3 linked regions of the Arabidopsis thaliana genome follow. The protein of the gene in region 3 binds, or shares a complex with, the protein of the main gene of each other region. Each region holds a gene or a part of one and is shown on either strand. Other genes may lie near its edges.

The links. Proteins that work in one complex are often made in the same cells at the same time.
Region 1: TOC34 (region 3) and TOC132 share a complex: the UniProt entries of both Arabidopsis thaliana proteins name them as parts of the TOC core complex.
Region 2: TOC34 (region 3) and TOC159 share a complex: the UniProt entries of both Arabidopsis thaliana proteins name them as parts of the TOC core complex.

What each region holds. Positions count from the first base shown.
Region 1 is NC_003071.7:7,210,525-7,217,478, forward strand, and holds TOC132 (multimeric translocon complex in the outer envelope membrane 132), read right to left. Parts: upstream 5,094-6,954; 5' UTR 4,956-5,093; exon of another isoform or gene 4,603-4,955; 5' UTR 4,586-4,602; coding exon 965-4,585; 3' UTR 870-964; intron 756-869; 3' UTR 535-755; downstream 1-534. Other genes in the region: AT2G16630 (Pollen Ole e 1 allergen and extensin family protein), read left to right, coding at 6-348; PRORP2 (proteinaceous RNase P 2), read right to left, coding at 5,413-5,541, 5,613-5,681, 5,784-5,904, 6,003-6,181, 6,280-6,381, 6,551-6,954. UniProt on the Arabidopsis thaliana protein: GTPase involved in protein precursor import into chloroplasts. Seems to recognize chloroplast-destined precursor proteins and regulate their presentation to the translocation channel through GTP hydrolysis.
Region 2 is NC_003075.7:1,102,733-1,110,599, reverse strand, and holds the start of TOC159 (translocon at the outer envelope membrane of chloroplasts 159), read right to left. Parts: upstream 6,035-7,867; 5' UTR 5,835-6,034; coding exon 5,771-5,834; intron 5,688-5,770; coding exon 1,240-5,687; 3' UTR 901-1,239; exon of another isoform or gene 834-900; 3' UTR 797-833; exon of another isoform or gene 625-796; 3' UTR 463-624; intron 320-462; 3' UTR 235-319; exon of another isoform or gene 1-234. Other genes in the region: XT2 (UDP-xylosyltransferase 2), read right to left, coding at 7,255-7,629. UniProt on the Arabidopsis thaliana protein: GTPase involved in protein precursor import into chloroplasts. Seems to recognize chloroplast-destined precursor proteins and regulate their presentation to the translocation channel through GTP hydrolysis. Required for chloroplast biogenesis.
Region 3 is NC_003076.8:1,473,495-1,478,395, forward strand, and holds TOC34 (translocon at the outer envelope membrane of chloroplasts 34), read right to left. Parts: upstream 2,941-4,901; 5' UTR 2,788-2,940; exon of another isoform or gene 2,295-2,787; 5' UTR 2,279-2,294; coding exon 2,177-2,278; intron 2,090-2,176; coding exon 1,982-2,089; intron 1,881-1,981; coding exon 1,756-1,880; intron 1,654-1,755; coding exon 1,389-1,653; intron 1,298-1,388; coding exon 1,229-1,297; intron 1,137-1,228; coding exon 975-1,136; intron 879-974; coding exon 768-878; 3' UTR 533-767; downstream 1-532. Other genes in the region: SUN1 (SAD1/UNC-84 domain protein 1), read right to left, coding at 1-276; AT5G05010 (clathrin adaptor complexes medium subunit family protein), read left to right, coding at 3,643-3,645, 3,775-3,814, 3,903-4,126, 4,277-4,519, 4,596-4,767. UniProt on the Arabidopsis thaliana protein: GTPase involved in protein precursor import into chloroplasts. Seems to recognize chloroplast-destined precursor proteins and regulate their presentation to the translocation channel through GTP hydrolysis.

The DNA of each region.
Region 1 (6,954 bases), on a different chromosome or scaffold from region 3:
TATAGGTTGTGGATGAAACCTGAGTACAGATGCTACTGGAGGGCGATAGGTCCAGACACAAAGGTCGCAGTTGCATTTGGGCTAGTAGCCGGGAGAATATACGGCACAGATATGACAGTACGAGAAGCGCTTGACGGGCGAGGAGAAGCCTATAAGACACTTCTAAGAGAGGCAACAACTGCATTGCTCAATTCATACAACTCTCTAGGATTTCCTTATAATTCCGTCGCTGTGATCACATATACCAATCTGGCTCTCCTCGGGAATTCGGAACACGATGTCCTCATGACTGCTATTCGTTTCATCAAGGCTAATTCCGGGACCTGCAGATTCACAGTCTGCAATTGATTGAATGTGTTTTCAATACTTATATACTCTACACTCTTTCTTTCTCTTTTACATTGTTCTTGGGTCCTTTTGTAATACTATAAAAGTCTATACCTGGATTCATTGGAGAATTTATGGACTATTATTGTATCCCTATTTATACTCGGCATTAAACTTAGTTGTTACAAAGCCTAACGTTCTAGCACTGTGAGCACTAAATGTTGTTATGATATAATGCATCAATGATTGGAGAGGGACATGAACAAAAGTAGATATGCTTCATTCATAAGGGAGATCACAAGGTCTTAGAAATAGAAGAAAAACAAACCACTGAGCTATTATATATCAGACAAGGAACGTGTTATGTTCTGGCTATTTCAAGACACAAACTTTCCTCCAACAATTGGTCTCTTGCTACCAGACAGATCCTGTTCAAAACCAAAGCACATCAACGCTCAGCAAAATCCATTAAGAGGGTTTCCAAGAAAACGAAAATATCGAAATCAGTAATCACAGTAAGATATAGAGATCAGATTGTGTACCTTTTCAACTCACTCTAACATGTTCTTGTGACTAATCGATTCCTAATACTCCAGTGCAAAGGGATGGAAGTGAAATCAGCCTAAATGTTTCTTAATCATTGTCCATATTGCGTTTGCGGGTAATAATAACTAAGTAGCTTCTTGAAGAGAGGAACAATCGCAACCATAGCAAGTTGGAGCTGCTCGGAGCTGTTAACACGAACACTTACTTGCCCTGCTCCTCTATTGTTCAGATTAGCACGAGCAATTAAATTAGAGGAACGTCCAATGGGAACCTGAGACTGTATGTTCCCTCCAATAGCAAGATCACCGTGCCAATCCATTACAGAAAGTCCAAGAGTAGTCAAAAACCGACCAAGCGGATAATCTTTATCTCTCAACTGAGCTTCCAAAGTACCACCATAAGCAAAATCTCCCCGACTAGTCATAGCTCCACCAGACATTACGATTCTGAACCATTTACTAGCAATAAACTTATCTTCGACTTTCAACCCCGCAGAAACCGAATCACCCAAGTGTGTTACAGAAAGACCAGCTGCAGCCTTGTTTCTCCTGAAATTGTTAAATCTCGTTTCGCTTCGAAGAGTATAAGCCAATTCCTTTCCAACAGTTTGCATGTCGAAACCTAGGGAAGTTGATTTACCCTCTCCATGTTTAACCGAGCTGGCCATTTCTAGCTGCACATTTGCATCCTTCTTGTCTTTTGTCACTTGACCTGAGACAGATATTGGTATTTTTTCTTTTACAACAAAGAGCCGTTCTGCATTCACACCTTCATAACCAATATCATGATCCCACCCATGAGTTTCCAGGACTGGCCTAACAAGCCACTGATTGGAGGAATCAAGGTACCGGTAGCGGTGAGTAGGGTTATCAGAGTCAAAAGACGCAGGTAGAGATAAATCTGGCATAGGAACTGGAACTGATGCAGGTCCACCACTCTCCTCTTCCACATTTTCACTATACCCATCAGGCAAATCTTTAATCTCTGCAGCAAATTTCTTAAACATCTTACGTCTCTTTCTTTCCTCTTTCATTTGCTTCTTCATTAAAAGTTTCTCTCGGTACTCCATTTCATCGAGATACTGCTTCTTCTGAGATTTACTAAGCGTAGCCATCTGAGCTTTAGTCAAACTCTTAAACGGAGGAAGCTGATCATACTCTGATTCTTCGTCTGAATCTGATGATTCTTCTAAATCATCTTCATCTTCTTCATCACCATACTGCTGTTCAGGAAGCTTAGGTTGTGGTCTTGATTGCAGAAGCGATGAAAGGAGAAATGGTAATGGCGGAGCCTTGGACCGAGCTGCAAATGGTCTCCCTGGAATATTATCTTGCAACTTCAAAAGAGCATTTGCTTCTGCTAGAATCTTAGATGCAAATGAGAGTAGCAACAAATGTGGCTTCCACACTTGGCCATTCGGTAATACTCTCTGGCCTGCCCGATTAGTCCTGCAAGCTGAGTGATTCTCAACTAAAGAAACAGGGTTCATGAGCCTCATATCTCCAGCTGCTTGGCGAATGGCCTGCTGGATGACATGAGAACGTTGTGTAACAAACATATCATAGCTAGAAGCAGTGCCATTTGGGCCATCTGGTGGAACAGAAGCGGCATGAGTCAAACCCACAATGGCATTAAACCATATCGAAGGACCAAAAACATCACTTATGGTGCGCAGGAGAGGCATGTCACCAGAATCTCTGCTTTGCATATCCAACCTATCAAGATATAGTACAATGTCAGGTGGATTCTTCTTGATGAAAGCCTTAACAGAATTCAGGATCTTCTCATTCTTGGCTTGATCAGACCAGGAAGGTAAGAGACCGGGAGTGTCAATCACCCGTACCTTAATTCCCTGAACCAAACCCTCAACATCTTGAACCCTCTTTGTCCCCATCTGGAATGCATCAGTACAAAATTTCACTTCATCAAATATAGAATTGATCGTTGCACTTTTACCAACCCCACTTTTTCCGAGAACCATAATCGTACAAGAAAAATCAAGTGGATCCTGTCCAGCAGCCTCAAGCTGTTCTGCCATGGCACTAGCGCGATCAAAACTAAAAGCACCAACACGGCTTCCATTTCTGCCCCTCAACTGCTCAGCCAATCCAAGCCTGTATAAAACCTGAGCAACAACAACATTATGCGGGGTTTGCCCTAGTCTATGTGCAAGCCTCAAAAATTTTACCCTGATCAACTGGAGCTTCTCGCGGGTCTCATCATGCTCATCAGCCTCTGTAGTGGTAGAGTCTTCAGCTTGCTGAAACTGATTGTGAGACCCATTCCCATTGACGCGAGACTGTTGAGGAGCACGTGATGCAGGTTCCAAAAGAGGAGAAGCACGACCAAGACCTGCTGGACGAGCAGGTGGTAATGCCGCAGGATTACTTCTAGACTCTGTTGGTGAAACAGAACTTACTACCTCAGGTTCTGTTTCCACATGTGAATTTTCTGTAATCTCTGGATCTACATGTACTCTGCTGCTTTGCTGCTTCTCAAGCTCCTTATTTGGTTGAGGACTCTGAACATCATGTCCTCCATTAGCACTTTGAACTGGTTTGTGTTCTCTACTAGTTACCCCAGGGGAGCCACTATTGCTGTGAACTTCAGTTGACTCAGGATATGAGTGCGGCGAAGAAGCCAAGTGTTGCTCTGGTTTTAAACAAGTACTGTCCCCTTCAGTCTCTCCCTTTTCCCCGGAACTAGATTCCTCCAATGGAGATGAAGTCACAGCACTTGATACTTCATTGTCACCTGAAGCATTAGTAACGATATTACTTGTGTAGGCGGCACCAGTCTCACCATTTCTTTCTGCCTCGGACTCACTGTCCATACATACTGAACCATTCTCAAATAGATCCTTACTTGTTCCTTCACCTTCCACAACATCTTGTTCTGTCTGTTTCTCAAATAGATTCTTACTTGTTCCTTCACCTTCTACAACCTCTTCTTCTGTCCGTTTCTCAAATTGATTTTCAGTTGTTCCTTCACCTTCCTCAACCTCTTGTTCTGTCTGTATGCCATCAACTCTTTCCTCCCAATTATCGACTTCAATGCCATCATTCCATGGTTCCTCAATCCCATCATCTTTAGGGATAACTTCAGCCACCACTTCTTTATTTTTAGGAGAGGCGATTCCATTTCCCAAAAAAGAATGAGTCTTTCCGTTTTCAATACCCACATGCTCAGCTGCTAAATTGGAACCATTAGTATTAGTTGATGTAGCATTCTCAGTGGTATCAACAACATCCAAGCTCGATTCAACTTTATCATAAGAACCACCTCCACCTCCTTCCCCCTTATCACCATTCATTTTAGTAGCCAAAACATCAAATTCAGCCTCTCCCGCACCATGGCTCTCTCCAACAGCCGTAAAATCTTTAACACCCCCTTCATTGCTACTCGTTTCATCCAAATCACCCACTGCCTCTTCAAAATCCTCCACTTCATGCTCAACCATAGAACTTTTAAGAGTTTCCACTAAAGGCAAATCATCAGATTCAAACAATTCACGTTTTGGATCCTCCTCCTCCTCCTGCTCATCATTCTCTGAACCAATCGCTTCCTCAAAAACCTCGTCCTCGTTATCATCCCTTACTTCATCAGATCTCACCAACTCATTCTTCACTACTTGCTCATCACTAATTCTATCCTCAGCAAGCTTCTTATCTTCCCTATCTGACCTAACCACAAACTCAGTCCCATCTCCCATTTTCTAGATCACCACCGCTACGGGAAACAAAAGCCACAAATACAATAATCAGAGATCAGAAATCACTCCAATTACCAACTACGCTTTAACCATCAATATAAATTCCAACAACCAAAAAAAAAAAAAAACGAGCACACAGCTAAAAGAAACCTAGATCAGAGTTAATCACCACGAATCCTAGAATCCTTATCCCTTACCAATTCCAGAAACTAAAATTCAATTGAAGTTAACCAAATCGCTTAAACACAGGTCTAAGCGGTGATAGGGATCTCCAAACATGGAAGAAGAACTTTGTTGATTACAGGAAACGAAAACCAAAACAGAAGAAAGAAGACGAAGAAAGAAGAAGAGAAATGGAGAGAAGCCTTACCAGAAGTTAGAGATAGAGAGAGAGAGAGAGAGAGAGAAATAGAGAGAAGGTGAAAAAGTGTGAAGATCCTTTCATGCGCTTTACCGGCTGCGAGCCTGCGACTACGACGGGGAAGGAGATAAGAGACGTTCATCAACGGTCCTGATCAGTTTGGGTTTAAGCATCGTACGGTTGATAATGACTCGTTGATGCAATCGTGAAATGATGCTGACGTGGACTATATAAAGTAGAGTGAGTGAAGCCGTGAAAGGGAATAGAAAACCCTCGTGCGTCAATTCGGTTTAACCAACCCGGTCTGATTCGGTTTGGTCTACTACAATTTTTTGTGTTCTTTCTAATGAGAAAAGTTCAGTCCCTTATTATAGAACCAATGAACGTTTTTTGTGTTAATCTTCAAAGGACAAAGAATGAAAACTCATAACAAATGATACATGAACTCAATAAGCTGGTGCAGCTACTAAGGAATCTTCCCATTACTCTTAGGTGAATCTAAAATACTTTGTCTGCTAATACACATCCAAGTTCTTGAAGACTCTTCATTGTTTTCGCATGAGACCGGGAAATGCCATGACCCTTTCTCTGATTCCTGATTTTGTCGAAACGTAATTGAGAAACTATCGAAACCGGAGAAAAAAAGGACTGAGATGGTAAACAAACCTGAATGACAACCGAAAAAGGAGACGGCATTTCAAGCTTCAGGTTACCTTTCACAAAAGTATACCGGACCTGTACCAAAACCATAAACCAAATGTTCTAATTGTAGACTTCTCAAAGTTGCACTTTTAGTATAAAAAGTTACATATTGTATATAAGTTTATATAACTTTACCTGATGTCTTTCTTTCCACTTTTGGAAAAAAGTACTCCCTAAGAGTTCAAAAATGTGGTCTCTCATCTCATCATTTGTCACAAGCAAACACTTGAGCTTAGCAGCAGCATACAGCCAATACCTGGAAAGGTAAAAAAAACAAAAGATGAGTGTAGTAACCAAACATTGTTTGTGTTTTTTGTCGAAATAATGGTGCTGAGAGAAGCTAAAAGTTCATACCAATCATCATTGGAACCTGGTGGAGTTGCATACAGGACACCGTTACTAATCCATTCTTCAACCAGATTCCGGTGAGTTGGGTTTTCTAAAAGCGTCTTGACCCGTCTCTTGTGCAATAGAATTAGGGGCCATTTGTTATTACCACTTTCACGGTAAAGTTCCTTCATCACAGATTCAAGCTGCTCTATCCCACATGTATGTGATATCAGTATAGCAAGGAATGGATTCTAAAAATATGGAGGAAGAAAAACAAGTACCCCAGAAAAGATGGGAGAACCTGTGAAAGACTGAAACTGCCATCTACAAAATTTTGTTGGTAGAGCCCAATATTTGCTCCATCTACTATAGCTTCGTAATCTCCATGTTTCTCAAGCCAGTCCTGCCAAATAAGATAGCAACATTCAACAAATATCGACATTTGAATACTCAAGATTGATGACAATTCGCAGCAAAAACTCCAACCAGTGTACCTATCTCTAAATGCTTATCATGCAATATTTAATGTCCAAGACTTATTATAACCAAGCTAAGAGAATCCCATCTCTAACCTGAAACTCGCTGAAGACCACATTTGTCTCACATGAATTCATCTTTGTCTTCCTATCCATAGCCAAAGCCACCAAAGAATCCACAAACTTCTGTGTTTCTACCTCATTGGTATCTACACAAGCTAACTGCTCACTGCAGCTCAAACATCTTCCTGTTGAGCTAACATTACCTTTCTTTACAGTCCATTTACCCTCCCCAACCCACCCATGCCCGTGCCACCCACCTCCATTATTCAAAACAGCTTCTCTAAGCATCCCAACATCAGAACCAATTCCATTATCACCAACCTCACCAGCTTTTTCTCCACAGAACCATTCCTCAATAATTTTCAAAGTTTCTTCACTAACGCAGCCAACATATTCCCTCAACTTATGTAAATATCTATAAACCTTGTTTTCTCGAC
Region 2 (7,867 bases), on a different chromosome or scaffold from region 3:
CATTGCCCAATTTCTCAGTACTTTCTTTCTGTTGTATCCTCTGTTTTCTTTCAGTTATGTGAGTGTGTGTGTATGCTCTTGAGAGTATCTTTGGCAAAAACTATTTATCTAATCTTCAAGCTATTCTAAAATAAATCAATTAGTTAACTAATGCAAAGATTGCGATGTCTTAACTATGGAGATACTGACTAGTGAGAATAGTATGTAAGGACTTTAGTCTGGTGGAAATCTTACTTTGGAACGTTTCTCCTGGCGAAAGAAGTTGACTTAAGAAGACTTTGAACGTTCTTATCCTTAAAGTTTCCTTGCTTTGTCATGTCTGAAAATGACAAGTAAAATATAGACGTAAGCTTCAAATCAGACAAAACAAAACACATCAGATTTCTGGACCTATTCACCTCTCTATAAATAACAGAAACGGTTAGAGCAGCAAGTTTGTGTTTTTCACCATCAATTTTGTACCTTGACCGCCGTAAACGCAGGGTGAAGAAAGTCCACCTAGTGTTTATCTCCAACTGTTTGCTCGTCTCATTACTCTGATGACTTTGTGGCTACCCAAAGAATTGCGAGTAAAGCCAGCCATATATTTGCAGACTCTGGTCATCCTTTAAGTTAGAGGCTTTGCTACATCAAATATTCACATAAACCATAAAGATTAAGTCCACCAAGAAATATCCTTTATTCGGAGTTTTGTCTGCTAGTATCATCAAGTTTACTTCACCACGATACTCCAATAGTTTCCAGATATTATATAAGAATGAAAATCTATTACAAAGCATTTTTATAAAAAACATACCATTGCCTTCAAGGGACCAAGGAAGAACAGTAAGATCCTGGTGAAGAACACAATGAGATGAGGGTTCTAGTACAAAATCTTATCAACAGTTACAGGCTACGCACCTGCTTTAAAGATTCTTCACCGAGTGATTTGTATCTTCTGCAGAAATTTAGTAACAAATTAGCAAACTCAAACCAAGCAACATCATTAGCATGAGACGTAGACCAAAAGAAGACTGAACTAGATTCCATTATCTGAAGAACAGCAAGAGAAGCTGAGAAGGGCTAATGAAAGTGAAGAATTACTGATACATGATAAATTAAATCCGATGGGAACCTCTCAACAGAACCAAAATACAACTTTGATAAACTTCAACAAAGTTTTTATTAAAGTGGGGGAAAAACATGAACTAAAAACCAGTAATAAAAGAAAAGATCATTCTGCAGCATTCATCAGCATATTTAGTACATGCTGTACTTGTCGTTCGTCGCTTCGGGTCGAATGCTCTTGTAGATGGACATGGCAATTGGAAGAATGGCTGTGAGAGCGATTTGCAACTGATCCGAGCTGCTGGTTCTGACTGTGATCTGTCCGCTCATCTTGTTGTTAAGTCCTGCACGAAGCGCAATCTTTGAGTTCCTTCCAACAGAGACTTGAGATTGGAGATTGGCTCCAAGGGCTAAATCGCCTCTCCACTTTACCAGAGACAGCCCAAAAGAAGATTGGTCCTGTCCAATTGGGAAATCAGCTTCCCTAAGCCTGACCTCGAGGTTCGCACCATAGGCCGAATCTCCCTGTGATCGCATTGTCCCAGTGCTGCCCACAAGCACCAACCTTTTCCCCAGTGCTATTTGGTCCTCGAGTTTGACCCCAGTGGCGATGTTCTCTCCCAAGAATGTCACTGACCCTCCAACAGTTGTCTTGTTCTTCCTCAAATTCTTGAATTTGGTTTCTCCTCTGACCACATATGCCAGCTGCTTGCCTACATTCTGAATATCGAACCCTGCCATGGTGGATCCATTCTCCCCGTGCTTAGCAGACACAGAGGAGTCCAGATGAATGTTGAACTCTTTCTTGTCCTTGGTGACTTGGACAGTAGCTGTGGCAGGGAACCGGCTAGCTAGAGCAAGACTGTGTTCTGCATTGACGCCGTCATATCCACAGTCATGGTCCCAACCATGGGTATCCAACACTGGCCTGGTTAGGAGTTGTGAAGTGGGTTCCAGATATCGGTATCGGTAAGCTGAGTTATCACTATCAAATGAAGGTGGCAAAACCATATCGGGTAATGGAACTGGCACTGCAGCTGGAGCCCCGTTTTCTGGATCATCTTCTTCTCCCGGATAACCAAACTCACTTTCACCCAGCTTCTTCCCGTTTTTCTTCATTTCTTTCATCCTCTTTAATTCCTCTCTCCATTGCTTCTTCTGCAGGAGCTTTACACGGTAATCATACTCCTCGAAATATGCCTTTCTCTGTTCATTTGAGAGCTTTGCAAGTTGGGTTTTTCGAAGAGGCTTAAATGGTGGCAGCTGGTCATACTCATCATCTTCCCCATCTTCCTGCTCAGAATCAGACACATCATCAATTTCGATATCAGAGTCAACACTATCACCACCTTGGTCTCCAGGGAGCTTAGGATGTGCACGGGACTGCAACAGCCAAGACAACAAGTAAGGGAGAGGCGGGGATCTAACTCGGAAACCAAATACTTTACGATGGTCCAATGGTTCTTGAGGCCTCAATAGAGAATTTGTTTCTGACAAAACCTTCAGGGAGTAACACAATAGCAACAGCTGAGATCTCCAAGTTTGGCCATTCGGGAGAACCTTCACTCCCTCCCGGTTCTTCCTACACAAGGGGTGATTCTCAACAAGTGAAACTGGATTCATCAGACTTGGATTCATCAAGCGTAGATCTCCAACAGCCTGTCCTATAGACTGTTGCACAATATGTGAGCACTGCGCTACAAACACATCATAGCTCAATGGGGTGCCAGATGGGCCATCAGGAGGGGCAGAAGCCGCATGGGTCAATGTCACTATAGCGTTTTTCCATATGGATGTACCAAGAGAAGCAGTAATCGTCCTTAGCAAGGGCAAATTGTTCAAGTCCCTGGTCTGGGTGTCAAGACGATCTACATATAGTACAATATCAGGGGGACACTTCTTCATTACCTTCTTTACAGAGGACAACATTTTTGCATTTGTACTTTGATCCATCGCAGCAGACTTCAAACCCGGAGTATCAATAAAGGTAATCTTGACACCATTCACCGTTCCAGAAATTTCTCTAACCGAAGTGGTTGAGAGCCCAAAAGCATCAATGGACGCAATCTGGTTTCCCAAAATGGAATTTATAGTAGCACTTTTTCCCACCCCGGCTTTTCCAAGGACCAGTATGTTTAGGGAGAAGATCAATTCTTCGTTGCCCTCAGCCTCAGACTCCACAGCCTTCTTCTTTGCAGCATCAAGACTGAATAACTGCCCTGCTTGTCTCCCAGCAAGTAGTGCAAGACGGTAAAGAACCTGCGCTGCAATTGAATCTTCTGCCGAATGACCCAACCTTTGCAAAAGCCGCAAAAACTTCACACGGAGGCTTTGCAACTTTTCTAATTTCTGTTTCTCTTCCTCGCTCAAGTTAATCTCAGTCTCATCTGCCATTGTGACATTAGAATTGGAAAAGATGTTGGAACGGTTTGCACGTGGAGCTGCTGCAGGCTTCAAGGGCCTTAACGATGAACTCAAACCAGCAGGTCGATCCATAGAGAAAAGCTTCGTGCCATCCTGAGATGTTATGGTAAAATTGCCACCTTCTGAACTTCCACCACCAGTGGCTGCCTTCAAAAGCGCAGCCAAAGCTGCAGTATCAAACATTTTCTCCTCACCTTCATCCTCTGTGTCTACATCCTCGTCAGAATCGGTGACAATCTGGCCATCAATCCTATCTGACATATTGTTAGAAATGTTTGCTTCATCAGAATGTGCCTCTATACCAGAAGAAGCCTTTTCCAACTCTGCTAAGAACTGTTTTGCAGCTTCAGAACTCCCAAATATCATCTCTTCAGTTTCTTCTTCACTTTCAGACCCATCAACCCTGGTAACACCTTCGCCAGAAGGTTCCTGGTCCACTTCCTTGCCTCCAAAGCTAAACTCACGAGAAGAAACAATGTCTTCGACTGGGAGCTTGTTTTCATCCTCTTCAGCACTGTCCCCTTCGACAACTTTCCGAACCTCAAACTGTGACTCAGCTGCAGGAATTGAATCCTCTTCTGCATCAACTGAACCCACTTTTAAACTTTCAGAAACAGGCAATTCTTCTACTTCCACACCTACTTTTGGTTCGTCTGGCTCTACTTTGGCAGCCTCTGATATTTCCTTAACAGCCAATTCAAAATTTCCATCATATGCAGCAGTCAGGTCATCAGGTTCCTCAATATTTGAGATGGTCTTGTCAACCTCATCATCTTTATCATCTTCCTTAATTACAGCCTCCTTAGCCGCCCCGACAACCACAACCCCTGGCTCTGCAACATTGATATCAGCATCAACAGAGTCCACCACAGAGGAGTCAACCATAGAGTCTCCTTCACTAACCAACTTTCCTCCTCCCTCCTCTGTGGCTTTATCGGATTCAAGTTCAACTTCACCACCTTCACCTTGGCCAATTGGATCAAACTTATTATGCACATCAGGGATGTTGCCATCAGTTTCCAGCACCTCACTCACCTCTACGTCTCCAACAACAACAACCCCTGGCTTTGCCACATCTACATTCACAGCTTCAATAGCAGATGAGTCCACCACAAAGTCTCCTTTGTTGTTTAACTTAACACCTTCTTCTGCATCATCGACTATGCCACCGAGCACACTCTCCTCCTCTTTGGTTCCATTGTCAGCTACTGCACTAGCTGCCTTGATTACTTCAGCATAAGTCATACCCTTCTCCAATCCGTTGGCTTTTTCCACATCCTTTGGTTCACTCCCACTCTCGGCAGCTACAACCTCTGGCTCTACAGCACTGGTATCCACAGATTCTAACTTAGAGGAGTCTGCAATAGAGTCTGATTCGCTAGTAAATTTTTCTTCTACCTCCTCAATGGCCTTGTCAGACACAGGTTCAAATTCACCACTATCATCATCCCCAATTTGATCAAACTTATTAGCCACTTCAAGAGTTTCAGCATCAGCATTAATCTTCAACTCCTCACTTCCCTCTGCGTCTCCTACAACAACCACCCCTGGTTTTGCCACATCAACATGCACTGATTCTACAGGGGACGAGTTCACAATGACGTCTCCTTTATCAGTTAACTCCACACCCTCTTCTTCAATAACATTATCACTTTTATCGTCAACATCAACTTTTCCACCCAACTCACTCTCCCCCTCATCATCTTTTTTTGTTCCAACATCTTCTTCTTCCACATCCTTCACTTTACTCTCACTCTCCCCATCTGTGGAAGCCTGTTTCACATCAACATCAACACTCCCATTTTCAATCTTACTCTCACCATCGTCTTTAATATCCTCCACGTCCTCCTTAACCTTCTTATTCTCCTCCACAACCCCTACACCATCAGAAACAGCCTCCGGCTTCGGAGATAACGATGAAACATCATCTACACCAATTGTCTCACCAGAAACCACCTCAGGCTTCGGAGTAGCCTCAGGAGTAGTAGAATCCTCCTTTAAAGAACCATCCACCTCGTCGGAAACCTTCCCATCACCCACCAAATTCGGCTTCTCCTTCTCGGAGTCAGATAAATCATCAGCTCCAACCTTATCCGAATTACCAGACACAGCCTCCGATGAGGAATCCAACTCCTTGGCACTACTCACAGCACCACCATCCTCCTTATCGGCGGCTGCAGCAGCAGCGGCGGCGACAACAGAAGCATAGGTTTTTCCTGATAACAAAATATCCTTCCGATTAAAACCCTATTCCCAAAAACGCAGATTAAAGAAGATATAAACGAGAAAGAAGAAAAACCTGATTGCCCCGAAGAAGCGTAGAAGGGGTTGGTTGGTTCTGGAGTAACCGACTTTGAGTCCATTTCCGCTTTGCTACTGAGACTCTTTCTCCGCCAAACTTGTGGAGGAAGGAGATAGCGATAGATAGATAGGGTTTAAAGGAATTTACCCTTTTTTGTGTGAAGGTTTTTATGATTGAGAATTTGGCTGCTCTCTCTCTTTTGAAGAAGAGAGAATTGGGAGAGATAAGGTCACTCGGCGAACAAAAAATGACTCTTCGTTTTTCTTCTTTGCCTTGGGATTTTATCTTCTCAGTTTGTGTTTTGAGGATGATGATGAAATTACCGAATTACCCTCGCTTCTATGTTGGTGAAGTTTCCAAGAGGGCTCTCTTTTGTGCTACGCTTTAAACTGTGTCGCTTCATTGGCTCAAGCCAAAATATATAGAGTTTCTTTTTTTATTTGAGGAAGAAGTACAATAATCATTTGTGGTTAAAATTTGAAAAACATTGTATCATTTTAAAAAACAGTAATTTTTTTGTCAAGAATTTTCAATTTTTGTTGAGTAAATTTAGAATATTTTAGTCACTTTTTGGAAAGTATTTACTGTTTAATATTTTGTTTTTATTATGCACAATTCTCCAAATGTTAAAATCTTCCCCAATGGAAAATGTTTTGATGGGCTCACTAAATCTAGGGTTTTTGAACTCATGAGAATTAGGGTTTTGTTATATCTTCTCTTTACTAAAAACCAAAAAAACCACACAACAACAAAATAAAATAAAACATTTAAAATAAAAAACGAGATAACATTTTGAGATTTGGGTTTTATAAAGAAGAAAGAAATCTTTTTTGTATCTTTGTTGATCCTCCCTACCCGAAATTGCTTGGCCACAAACGATTTTCTCACCATTATCTACGAATTATCTTGGATTTTTGTATAACACGGATTCCATATATTAGGCCGTGATTTTAGTTTTCAGATGGGCTTTTATAAGGCCTCCCCCTAATAATAGCCCGTATACATGATTTTATTATCAATTAAAGACATTCAGATTTCAGATACAACAACCCATACTGCAAAAGAATCTGACCACATGCCAAATTTTGTTTTTCGAATTAAACTCCTAAACTACACAAAACTTGTGAATATGATCTCAGAACTATACTAACTCAATGTGATTTTTTCACATTTTGCATACTAAAAGTAAATAATTAGTTGAATGTGAAATCAGGTTAAAAAAAAGTTCTTGAATTAACACAGATTATTGATCCATGAAGCTACAAAATCTCAAGTTCTAATGGATTACAAAGAACAAAAAGGAAGAAAAACAACATTTTGATTTCGTAATAGAACTCTAGACGTAGAGACAAAGTAAAACCAAAGAATTAACTGATGTCTCTGCACAATACTTTATCATCCATCTTAGTACAACAACAAGCAAAGACACAAGACATAAATATAGCGAGAAACATAACACAAATCCTAAACGCAAAACCGATTCAAACTTGATTGGTTTGTACCTTAACCGCCTTAAACGCCGGATGAAGCAACCCGAGCTCGTCTTTCATCTCCAACGGATTGCTAGTCTCGTTCCGCACTCTCTTGACTTTACGACTAGCCAAAGATTTGTGAGTGAAACCATAGATTTGCAGAATCTGGTTATCTCCAAAGTTAAAGGCTCTGTCCATTTGTTTTAGACACCGTTCCACCGGGTAATCACCAAATTTCCCACACGGTTTGCAACCGACAAAGTGAGTCACCAATGGCCATCTGTGATCTCCTAGACCCGGGTGGTAGTTTTCTATCATTTCTTCATATCTGTCCACAAGAATCCCCCAGTAACCGTGAAGATAGTATCCACTTTCTAGGTACACCTATAACAACAATGCAGTGGCTCAAATGAGTAGCTCAACAAAATCCAAACCAAGCAAAGATTTGAGTTTACTTCAATAATAGACCCTTACACAGATGTCAGAAACCACAAGATGCAACTCACATTGTCATTTTTGATGATCAAGAGACATGATAAACCACAAAAAGCAACTCACATTGTTATTTTTGATGTTCAAGAGACATGATAAACCACAACAAGCAAACCACAAGTTTCCAAAT
Region 3 (4,901 bases):
CCGCGTCCGGCGCTGCGTAGCGGTGGTATTAGTCCCCGTCGCAGCGGAAACAGACCTTCTCGTCACAGGACCCAAATCTTGTCCCTGAGATCGATCAAGGGTAGCTTCACCGCGGCTCAGATCTCTACTCGTACCACCGGCTTCCCCAACACCACCGTTCGCAAGCGATTCGCTTTGAGGGTAATCAAAGTTTGATTTTTTCTCTCCGGCAAGAATCGGCGTCCGTCTAGTCGCTGCCGCCGTATTAGCGGTGATCGACACCGTTGATGCCGACATTTGATCTGGTTTGACTACACAATCGCACCCCTCGGATAAAAAACAAATCTTTACACTAATGTCGAAATCAGAACCCTAAATTCACTAGAGAGAGTTGGAAAATTCGAAAACTTTGTTCGAAATTGAGGAAAGAGTAAACGATCTTCTCTGAACCGTCTTCTCCGTTTGCCAAATTCCTCCTTTAAACATCGGTTTTTTTTTTCTTTAACTCAAATTTTTATTTTATTTCAAAACTTGCATCGCGTCAAAAATAACTGCAGCGGTTACTTTTACCATTAATGACAAAATGGAATTATCTCTTCTAATCATTTTCACCAAGAGAGTAGCTCTTAATTACGATTTACGAGAGGCTAAAGAAGATGTAATTAAGATGAGAGAACTTTGCGACAGTAATTATCTGTGAACCACATTTCTCGAGTTGTATCACAATTTCAACTACAGAACAATCTCTCAGATAGACAAACAAACCAAACAAAACTCGTGTCCACAACTCAAGACCTTCGACTTGCTAAACCGGAGTCTCGCAGCTCCCACGCCGGTTTACTCTCTCTCGAAACATCGGACTTGATTGCTCGAACCAATGGCTTCATCACCAGCAAGTACTGCATTTTCAAACCATCAAAAGATGAATAAATGATGCATGATGTTTTGATCAAGCCTTATTCTGTATTGTTACTGAATGGTTCAGAGGGGCTTACTTGGAATGCAAACATTAAAGGAATCAGTTTTTTTCCTCTTTCGTTTGGGTTTGGCCCTTCGACCAGTTTCTTGTCAACATGAATCGCCTTGTTGCCATTAAAAGAGATCTCTGTGATTTTGTTGAACAGATTGGGAATCCAACTAGTCCCGCATGGAAGAATCTGTCACAAATTTGGAAAATCCGACTTCAAGATTGGTCCAACTACTACAAGACGCGAGAAAAAGAGAACGTGGACAAAACCAATCAACTGACCTTTTCATCGCTTTCGTTCTTATGGCATCTTCCGCTGTTCTCAACAAGAATGACAGGAATAGAAAAACCCTACAATAAAAGATCAGAGGTAAGTGAGTCTATTAACTTGACTACTATCAAGGTCGTTACAGACATTTATGTAAGGAGGAAAAAACTATACCTGCAAATCCTGTTTCTTCAGTTGAGCGCCTGTCTGGATAACTTTTAGAAGAGCATTAGATCTTTTGGAGACAAAGTGGTTATAATTTAACCCGTCTGGTGGAGAGAACTGAGCATGGGTGAGAACAAGAGCAGACTTCTTCCATATCTCTTTACCAAATGCATCAGTTATAGCACCGACAACTTGCCTATCAAGGTCATCCACCCGGTACACATCCAAACGGTCTACGTATAGTAGCACATCTATAGTCATGTTGAGGAGAAATCTGTTCAAATTCAACATCCACGAATCCAAATTAATACAAATGCCACAAATGAGCCCCAAATTAGGAGAGTAACTCCTTAGACCTGGAAACAGTTCATCATACCGTTTTATAATGTTGATGGCTTGATCATTCACATATCCTCCCTCAATAAGACCAGGAGTGTCGATGATATTCAATGTAAATCCCGATCTTGTGCGAGAGACCAAGGTAGGCCTCAGTCCTTCAGACTATAAAGAGGGAAAATCACACACTTTCTATGAGAAAAATTAAAAGAAAGATAGCCAATAGTCATAAAGACAAGCCATGAGAAGAGCATTAAACTTGGCACCTGGAAAGTACTAACTGCAGCAGCTTTCTCGCCTATAACTGAATTCACAGTTGATGACTTTCCAACACCACCTTTCCCCATTACAAGGACCGTTAGCGAGCTCACATCCTACACCAGTTTTTTTTCTTTCTTAAATCTCTCTAAGACAAGAAGAAACAAACAGAAAGCAGATGAAGCTAGAAACAAGAAAGGAACCTCTTCTTTATACTTCCCAAGGATCTCGAGCAATTTAGATTGAGTAGCAGGTGGGAACTGCTGGATACCGATCCATTCACGAAGCGTTTGCAAAGCTGCCATGGACACAAATCCTTACCTACACTTCCAAGGAAAGCAAAAAAGGATCACAAAAGAGAAGACTAAATCATCTGCTAAGAAACTAAACAATCAGAAGACCAAAGAACAAAAATGAGTAATCGCCCATAAAAGAAAAAGTTGTCTGATTCCACTATCTGAATCAATCCTATAACTTTCTAGCAATTAAAGTCTCAGAAAATTAAAAAGAAGATAACTTTTTTTTACTAAGAACAAAAACCCTTAAAATCCATCTTCATTTGCCGTTGTCTCCATTAGTTTCTTTTTTCCAGATCTTTAAATGAAAATAATCTCATTGCTTTAGAAACGAACATGGCGCAAGTGGGCATACCAAAAACTAATAACTTAAGCACTAAACTAATCAAGTATTGAGAGATAATCAGAATCCTAAATCCTGAACTGGGGTCAAATGCCAATTTATCAAATGAGCATACTTCTAAGTGGACGAAGTGAAAACCAGATAAAGAAAGAAAACGAGAGAGAGAGTAACCTACCTGAGCTAGAGTTACTAGTGGCGGATATTCGTCGCCGGATTCGCTGACCTCGTATCAAATTAAAACCCTAGAACTGAAATTGACTTTTGAAGATGATTGATTGCTACAAATCTCAATACATGAAAGTACATTCCTTTCAAAATTCAACCGGACTAAACCGAATGTCGTCGGTCTGCACCAATGACGAATTTGCCCTTTTGGCATTTTTTCTTCCATTTACTGGGTTGGAAAGCCCAATAAGGAACTGAAACGGCCCAGATTACTTGTCCTTGTTTTGTGGATCGTCTTTTCTCTAACACACACACCAGGATTTAATCTGAGACTCGTTTCATCTTTTTTACTCGGCGAGCTTGTGAAGAAGAAACTGGTGATTTCATCTCCTTCGATCACTCCCAAGGTATCGTCTTGTTCTCTCGCTCTTCGCCTTCACTGATGGTGATGATTTTCGTTTTCCTTTGAATGAATGTTCTCTCTGGCTACATTTCTGTGGATCTCCATTATTAAGAATTTTCTCCTCCTTCTAAATTTCGCGATCCTGTTTCATGAATTTGATCCGCTTGTGTTGATTTTGATTCTACAGTTATGTTTTTCGATTATGAGCCTCTGATGCTCGTAGATCCGCTGGATCTGCGATGAATTCTTTTTATATTTTCGATTCGCTAGTCTAGTTTCGTTTGGATTCGTGTATTCGAGATCTCTTCCTCTATTACGTGATTTATGATCCTGAAGATCAAATCCCGTTTGTTTCTTCTGATCTCGCTCTAACTGGATTTACTCTAACATTGGTTCTTTGTATTTCAGATTCGCATTACCTTTCTTATAATCGCCGAGATTGTTCGAGCCTGAATAATCAAAATGGTATTGACTTTTGTTCTATGATTGGTTTTTTTCTTTTTCCTTTTTAGTGCATCTTCGCAATTTGGTGTTAACTTTAGTGTTTGATGAGTGTCTGGCGCGTTTTCTAAAGTTGGAACCTGTGCTTTATAGGTTGTGCTTGCTGCTGCCATTGTGGTCAAGTCTGGGAAAGGTTATTTTCATCTATCTTTGACTTTGTCTTCGAATTCTCGTTTTTCAATATTTTTGCGTTTTTTCTAACTTTCTTCTTTTTTATGTAGTGATTGTTTCCAGACACTATGTGGATATGTCCCGTATCAGAATCGAAGGTCTACTTGCAGCTTTTCCTAAGCTGGTTGGAATGGGAAAGCAGCATACCTATATCGAGACGGAGAATGTGCGATATGTTTATCAGCCTATTGAAGCTCTGTTCCTGCTTCTTGTTACAACTAAGCAGAGTAACATTCTAGAAGACCTGGCCACCCTTACTTTGCTCTCCAAACTTGTATGCTTCTTTCTTTCTTTCTTTCTTTTTTTTTTACTTCTGCTACTTTATTTGAGGAGATTATTGCCTTGACTCTGGATGTGTACTGGTTCTTAGTTCTTTTGAAAAGTGAGTGTTCCAAGTGCTGTTTGATCATTTGATTGTTTCTAGGTACCTGAGTATTCCATGTCTTTAGATGAAGAAGGGATTTCCAGGGCATCTTTTGAGCTCATATTTGCATTTGATGAAGTCATATCTCTTGGGCACAAGGAAAGTGTGACAGTTGCCCAGGTGAAGCAGTATTGTGAAATGGAAAGTCATGAGGAGAAGTTGCATAAACTGGTTATGCAGAGCAAGATCAATGACACTAAGGACGTGATGAAGCGTAAGGCTAATGAGATTGACAAAAGCAAGGTACATGACAGGAGCGCACCCTGCTGTTGTATTCTATTTCTGTAACTCCTATTAATATTTCTTATGTAATTCCTAGATTGAAAAGAATAAGCCAGGAGGATTTTCGTCCATGGGTTCAATGGGATCTGGAAGACTTGAAAGTGGTTTCAATGAATTGAGCATATCCAGTGGTGGCGGCGGTGGTTATGGAAGTGGTTCTGGGTTTGGCATGATTTCAGATGTCGACCCTATCAATACCAAACCAAAAGGTTAGTGTGCTTTAACTAGTGGATCATTCACAAATGACCGTTCAATCCCAAGTATTCAAATCAAAATGCCCTTCCATCTCGGGTTTCTTAAGCGCCTCTATATATATATACTTGATTTCGATTAGATAATCTCT